Caenorhabditis elegans: one gene and its partner. The protein of the gene in region 1 purifies or fractionates together with the protein of each later gene. This does not show direct contact. Each region holds a gene or a part of one and is shown in the gene's direction. Other genes may lie near its edges. The genes, in order: mup-4 and sta-2.

Evidence for each region.
Region 2: the proteins of mup-4 (region 1) and sta-2 purify together in Caenorhabditis elegans (affinity purification with western blotting, with the first as the bait; one study listed by BioGRID). This does not show direct contact.

Annotation. Positions count from the first base shown.
Region 1 is NC_003281.10:7,487,291-7,491,218, reverse strand, and holds the start of mup-4 (Transmembrane matrix receptor MUP-4), read left to right. Parts: upstream 1-2,113; 5' UTR 2,114-2,156; coding exon 2,157-2,232; intron 2,233-3,022; coding exon 3,023-3,078; intron 3,079-3,307; coding exon 3,308-3,928. UniProt on the Caenorhabditis elegans protein: Required for junctional attachments between hypodermis and muscle, and between the apical epithelial surface and the cuticular matrix.
Region 2 is NC_003283.11:9,739,002-9,742,929, forward strand, and holds the start of sta-2 (Signal transducer and activator of transcription b), read left to right. Parts: upstream 1-2,204; 5' UTR 2,205-2,221; coding exon 2,222-2,341; intron 2,342-2,419; coding exon 2,420-2,889; intron 2,890-2,989; coding exon 2,990-3,106; intron 3,107-3,154; coding exon 3,155-3,245; intron 3,246-3,292; coding exon 3,293-3,406; intron 3,407-3,448; coding exon 3,449-3,532; intron 3,533-3,655; coding exon 3,656-3,877; intron 3,878-3,928. Other genes in the region: aqp-4 (Aquaporin), read left to right, coding at 1-133, 176-231, 286-447, 544-580; marc-1 (RING-CH-type domain-containing protein), read left to right, coding at 715-739, 783-970, 1,256-1,541, 1,748-1,869. UniProt on the Caenorhabditis elegans protein: Carries out a dual function: signal transduction and activation of transcription. Required, in concert with transcription factor elt-3, for up-regulation of the vacuolar H(+)-ATPase and acceleration of lysosome maturation at molt.

The DNA of each region.
Region 1 (3,928 bases):
TAAAGAATTTTACAACAATGAGACAAATATAAGAAACTTGTAAAACATGTGTTGATATATTTAAATGGTAAGGTCCAAGGGTGTGCGGCAAATTTGCCGAATTAGCCGGCCACGGCAAATTTGAAAAATGTGGACTTGCCGAATTTGCCGAGCTCGGCCAATTTCGAAATTCGCCGCACATCCCTAGTTTGCTCATGAAAGGGCAATGCGGTGATTTAGAGTTAAAATTGAAATTTTCTGGGAGCAGGTAATAAGATAATGTTTTTAGGTATGAACATTTTAAGCAAGAAATATATTAAAGTAACTTTAATCAAGAATTTGATATGCTTGCAAATTCCCTAGAAATAAAAAAAGGTTCACACGCTTTGTATGTTCTAGGAACAGTTATATTTCAGTGAGCTTTTATTCAAATGGATCATGAGATATAGCTGTTAATTTCTAGATCTCACAGGATCTTCTAACATCCACCTAGAACATCGACGATCACACTTCTGAACTTGTGTAAACTTCCTCTCTTTCTCCACCCTTACCATCAATTTCTGCAATATCTCAATTTCCTTCTATAATCAATCAAAGTTGCGTATACACACCCATCTCCGTGCCACGCCTTTACCTTTCCCATGGCATCGAAGGGTATTCACAATACCTCGGACAGCGTCCAGATGTACACGCAATTAAACATAGAGAGAAACACAGAGACACCTTCTGGTGTATTCCATTCTTTCATAATGCTTCTGGCATTGCCACGCGTACGGGGGGCGCAAACTTGAAAGATCCCCCACCTTCTCCCCCCGTCGGACACCATTCATTCCGTTTAGCCAATCAACCGGCCGATTATGTTGTTGCCTTTCGATTTCACGTCTTCTTTTTTCCCTCTTTTCTTCTTTTCGTTCGAAGTTGGCGTCGTTGAATTTCCTTCTTTCTGTATCTGGTTAACCGGTGTTCATGTCAGTGTTACGCAATCCATTCCCTTTTCCTCCTCCCTCTAGTGATAAGACTTGATATGATGGGACACTTCTACAGCTTGTTAGCTTGATGATGACAAAGTGAAAGGTACTGGATGAGGTTAAGGAAGTGACTCTGATAAGGGATACGGTAGCGTGGCTGATAGCGTAAGTTTAAGGATATCTTGAGCTTATTCTATTTGAACTACGTATATGCATATGACCTTACTGTTGTTTTTTGCTGACTGAAATACTATAAAGTAGAGCTTAAAATTGCAGTTTCCTTTCCTTCCAGCTTTAGATCTAACTTTGAGAGCTTTATGGTCTTTTCGCCTACACTGGAACTCTTTCTGGACCATGAGCAGATGAATGACAAGGTCTATACAGAGCCTTTTTTTAAATATACTTTTCCTATTAGACTTGCATCCCCTAGCTCCACTGAATGATTTTATCTCGGAAAAAAAAATTAAAAACAAGTGTCAAATGTTGAGCTATACTTCTGTAGTTGAGCGCCACAAGTCTAATAAAAAATACGGTAACTCAATCTTACTAAACTCCAATGGAGCAGCAGAGCATTTCATAGCAGTGAATGATTCCAAATCCAAAGTTATAGTTCCAAATATATTTAAAAAATCGATATTTGAAGAAATTCTGCAACTTACAGTCTGACGTTCATGTTCAAGCTTTATCGAAAGTCTAAGCCTATTATTGATAATTATTCATGCATGAAAATGTTCTCCCCGGCTTTTTCTCGATTTGTCATATTTCTTTTCCGCATTTCTTCACTTATTGTTTCTATCCCCTGCCATTTCATTTTCTCAAAACCAGCCTATCACAATCAAAGACTGTTGAGGAGAAAGACACTCCTATCGGTCAGGTTCGCATATCTTCTCCTCTGCGTCTCTTCATCTTGTATACTATTTCTTCCATCCAAATGCCTATTGGTTTCTTCTTGGGGCCCTCGTTTTCTCTCATTGCCAGCCACACCTTCCAGATATATGTTTGTTTCACGTCTTCTTCAACTTTTCTTCTTTTTTTTGTAAAATCTGTTGCTCTCTCTCTCTCTCTCTCTCTCACATCTCTTTGTATTTTGTTGATTGCCAATGATCAGAAAAAAGATTCGACGAAATCAAAGTTTTCTTGATTTTCCCTTTTCTAATTTTCAATTCTTATTTAGCCTCGAATTTAATTATTTTAAGGGTCACGATCTCGATGAGGTGGGTGCCGTTAGTGCTCCTGCCGTTGATCGCCTCGGCGGCAACAACCTATCAACATCGGCAGACCTATTGTAAGTTTTTAAAGCGGGTGCAACTTTCTACTTATTGAATTATTTTGTTAAATGCATAATGTTGAAAAAATTATCAGTTTGAACCGCTTCTATGGTGGCTCTTGCCTGCCTACGCGCCTACCTATCGCGTCCCGTTACCATTTTTGCAGACAGGCAGGTATTTTGTGCTTGGTCTCACTTCACTTTTTCCTTTTGAGCCTAGTGAAAACCTGAACTTGAAAAATATCTTTACATTTATAGATTGACCCCATTAAATTACAGTAACCTCGTTAGTTCCCATTACTTTTGCCCTCATTAGTATCTAATCAAACTTTGGCAAAACCAAATGTGTCACTTTGTTTTGTTATTTCAATTTCTGATTGGTTGGGATCGATGTTAGTGTAATATTTCATTTGCCCTTCCCTTCTTTTTCTCTCTCATTCCCATATCTCTAAACCGTTAGCTTCCCTTTCTTTGGCATTTTCATTATCATTACCAGTCCTCTTCGCAGTCTCATCCCACGCGCTCCCATGTGGAAATAGCTTGAAAAGTTTGGAGACCCTGAGAAAATGGTTAAGGGCGTGGCAGTTTTGGCACACCCAGATGTGACCTTGTGTGAACACGTATACATAAATGGCATTCTGATAGAAAGGAAGAAGAAGAAGAGAGGAGATCAAGACGTTTTTAGGGAGTGAAAAATAGAAAAATAATATATGATTCATCACTTTTTAATTTAATGAATTTAATGATTGTTGTGAAATGGGGAATTCAAAAATTTGGCAAATTCGGACTTTAATCGACTGTTTTTCAGCTAGTCTGCAATGCCGAGTAAACGACCCACTATCATGTAATCAAGCAAAAAGCGAGGTAAGCAAAAAACGAGATTCTACAAAAATAGCAAAGATCAACAACATCTTAAAATGTTTAGTCTGAAAATGAAAACTCAAAGTGAATTTTATAGAGGTGTTCAGATCGGATTTTTAGAGGATACCACGATGAAAAATTTTGCATATTATCTAGGAATACATTTTCTAGTTCTTAATTTTATAAATTGTTGTTGTTTTTTCTGGCTATGAAATATGTGATAAACCTTTAGGTTTGCGTATTTGTGAACGGGCAATACCGATGTGAATGTCCCGTTGGAGTATCCCGTCTCGCCGACGGTCGCTGCCTCGTCGTCAACGAATGTGCTCGTCCATCACTAAACGCTTGTCACAAGGATGCTCAATGTGTTGATCTCGCAGAAGGATACACGTGTCGTTGTAATTCTGGATTCGCTGACACATCACCAGATAAGGTTAACAAACCAGGACGTCAGTGTCAGAAGACAACGAATGAGTGCGGAGCTAAACAGACTTATGGTGTTGATTGTGATGAAAATGCAGCTTGCGTGGATACTCCAGAAGGTTTCCAATGCGTTTGCCAACCGGGATATGCTGATGTTTCCACTTCGATCTCTAAACTTCCTGGAAGAAAATGTGTTGAATCGGTCAATGAGTGTACTAACGGAGAGGCTGATTGCTCTAACAACGCTGACTGTTTTGATCGTGCTGATGGGTACGAATGCAAATGTCGCCCAGGATTTGTCGATGCTTCACCAAACGTTGACAAGTATCCAGGACGTGTTTGTAATAAGCCAAAAGCACCGGAATACTATGGACAACAAAGTCGTCAACCACAGTGCTCTGAGGGTTCCGGATGTGGACCAAATGAAGAG
Region 2 (3,928 bases), on another chromosome or scaffold:
GCTAACAAGTTGCGAAGCCGGAGCAACATTACTTTCTCCAGGCAGTCAATGGTGGCAGGGATTAATTGCTGAAACTGTGGTTACTTTCTTCTTGGTTCACACTATTCTGATCACTGCAGCTGATACTGATACAGTGAGTTCACTGAACATAAATTTGTACAAGTTACATTTTTAGGTAACATTAGCCCCTCTGGCAATTGGTCTCACGCTGTCGATTGATATTCTTTCAACGTAAGTATTGAAAATATTGCTAATATACGATGCCTCATAAATTAAATGTTTCAGTGGATCCATCACCGGCGCCTCGATGAACCCAGCTCGATCACTGGGTCCAAGCATTATTGGTTCGATTTTTGCAACTCAAAAAACATCTTTTTACTGGAATAATCATTATATATATTGGGCTGGACCACTTCTTGGATCCACAATAGCTCTTTGCATTTACAAGTAAGTGAAGAATAGCAAATTGAGGTCCAAGTGGGACGAGTCTCGTTTCCGTTAAATGGTTAATAAAAATATGTTTAAAATATTCATAATTTTCAGACTTTTCGAATCACGAGAAGAACGTATCGTGCGATGAACACGCTAAATTCATTACGTTTTGACATTTACCTGTGGTATTTATTTTTTATTCCCTTTTCAAATTCATATTATTTCTCATCTTTTCTTTCGAATCGAATAAATCGAAATCTTTTATTTCAATTCATTGTCGTTATGGGTGAAACAACATCTATCAACTGTGGGTTTTAAACTTTATGTAATTGAAAAATGTAACATTGAAGCTGCAATTTCAAGTAACAGTTCGTTGTCTTTGGCAAGCACACAGGTTCAATCACCAGAGAAACCAGTGAGACCGGCATGGCTACTTGCATCATTCTCTGAATCGACAACTTCTGGATCTCGTAGAATTTGTAGAATCTGTCAAATGCACGAGGGAGATATGGTTAGACCATGTGATTGTGCTGGAACGGTTAGTATTTAGTGATTCATAAATTTATGATAGTTTCGAAAAAGGGGACATTAAGGGCCTCAGAATCTCGTGGCTTTATGTTTTTGTATCCAATTTGTTTTGTAATTTTCGAAAAGTCTTGTATTTTTTTATATCCTTACTTATAGCCACGTAGAACAGATTAAGACAAAACCCCCACATTTAACAACTGACTTAAATATATTTTTTCTGAACATTGAATAAAATCCTGACACAAGACTACACAAGAAAAATATTGTATTGTTCAAATTAATTTACCAAATTCAGATGGGTGATGTGCATGAGGAATGTCTCACGAAATGGGTAAACATGTCAAACAAGAAAACCTGTGAAATTTGTAAATCTGAATACACGAATAGTGGTGCTCAGTTCAAGCCAATCAAGCAGTGGAGTAAACCAAAATGCTCATTAAATAATATTTTCCATGTTCTGATCATAGTTCTTCTTGGACTTTTGATTTCATACGTGGTAATTGTAATGGAAGAACGATGCTTTTACAAAAGAATTATTGAGAAGAATATGTATGCTCGCCCAGATGATACTGGAAGAATTTGTGAGTTTAAACATATATTACTTTCCAAATAACGACCTGTAGAAGTTTTTATCGAGAATAGTTACCTTTTCCGACTTTATAGAGGTTTTCGAATTGACAAACAAGTGCGAAATCTAGATCTAAGCAGAAAATAACAGAAATAACAGAAAAAAAATAACAGGCGGAAAATAGTTTCATCAGTAGACTTCAAATTACACATGTTCCAGGTGTGATTATAATTCTCTCCCTGGCAATTCTCAACAACGTATACACTCTGATTGCTCAATTCATTCGCTACTTGAAGAGTCAACGTCAAATTCGTTTCATTAATAAACATTTAACAATTTAAATTCGAATGAAGTGATGTTTTGTCTGCATTTTTTTCTAATTTTTTGTAATATTGTAAATTTATTCGATGAGTCATCTAGGAATCAGATGAAAAGAAAATGTATCTCAAATAAGAAGAGAGATAGACATACAGACTGCGCAAAACGAGTTTCTCGACCGAGAATGCAAGATGCCCACCCGACTGTCCGACGACATCGACGGCACTTTGTTGTAACATCGATTGACAATACAAACTCTGACATCATCGGTCACTTGTTTTATTTTGTTTTACTTTTACTCTTTTCTTAATTCATGTGACTACTTCGTCACTACTCCTCTGGTTTAAATTTTTAAATTCATTCTTCAAGTTCTAGATGTCGTCGGTGGTATCTGACCAAATGGACATTGAGTCCTCTTCTGCATTCTCCCCAGCCGAGCCAGTTGTAGATGGAGCATTCGTGTCAAAACATAATTTGAGCGCGGAAGCATATCAGGTAGGAACTTCAGTAAAACCTCAGTTATTAATTGTGATGAAAAGTCACAGCATTTACTGTTCATGATGCTGGTTTCAGGGTTTCAAAGAATGTGCAGATTCCCTTTTATCGGGGAAAATTGCCCAAAATGAGCAACTCCCATTCATTCAACGAACGCTGCAAATTTGTGAAAATGTGATCTTGAATTTCGAAGACGAAAAACAACATTTGATGAGCGATGTACTTCTTGTATGGGCTATGAAACAACAGAAGCTTAGTATTGCAACTCTTCACACCCAACAATTACATTACAAAGAATTAGATTTGATCAATTTACAATTTGAATATTTTGGGGAACTTTTGCAACAGACACTCTCAGGACTTGATTACTTGAAGCAATACTATCCGAACGTCGGATTTGAAGAGGTTCATTCAAAAGTTCGCAATTTGACCCATTATTTCCTTTACTACTCAATCATTGTCAGTCGTCAACCACCATCAGTGATTGTTAAATGTGGTGAAGCAGAGAATCATAGAAGAAGCAGATTCTGGTTTAATACTGAGATAAGGTTAGATTTATTCAAAAAAAAATGTTGAAATTTTTTTGAAGAAACAAGACCGGAGAAATTACATAATAGACCTAAATTTTGAATTAATTATTTGATTCAGAATTCTTGGTGGATCCGCTTTTGGAATTGATACAAACAATGAGAATTCAAATGTTAATTGTTACTTGATTACCGATGAGACTGCTAAGCAATTACTAAATAATGCTTACCTTGATATGTGAGTTTTGTAAATTATATCTGAAGCCAATTTCTTTTTTATTTTTAGTTTTGAATCTGAAGAATTCTGTATTGAGCCAAACACATCCACGTTTCAAAAAAAAGATGCAAGAGGAATAAAAGCGAAATTTGACGATATGGCGAGTTTTTCATTTAAAGATGGGAAATAAAAACAATTTCTTCTCAGAAAGTTGCAAAAAAGGTTGCACTTCGTCGAGATTCCGTTGCTACAAAACGATATTGTCTGTGCTATAATATTCAATTGCAAACAAATTGTGGAATTGAACTTGTCGGAAAAAAGGTTATAAATTGTTGGAGTGTATATTAAAATTAGATTTTTCAGGTTTCGCTTCCATTTGCTGTTCTTGTTGGTCCAAAAGCAGATGTTGAGGCAAAATTGTTCCTCGAAAGATCTTTTGCTGACTTGGTAAGTTTTTTTTTGGTATTTTTTAAAAAGAACACACACTATTTGGAACTCGAAAAATTTTTTAAATATCAACTGTGAGCTTTTTCAAAAATCTTCGAACAGAATTAAATGATCAAATTCCAGGTCCGCCATCCGCTTTCGGATATTCCCACTCATGTATCTTGTGCTGAAATGGCTGATGCTCTGGAAATGAAATTTCAAGCAATCATAGAAACACCTCAAAAAAATACTGATGGACCTTCTGTTGTTCAACCGAGAAAATTCAATATGCAAACAAAACAACACTTGGTGATGAGAATGAAACCAAATAATCAAGGATTTTTGCCACTTGATAATTTTATGAAGGTATGCGTTTTTTTGAAGTTTGGAACTTTATTTAAAAAATTATCGAAAATT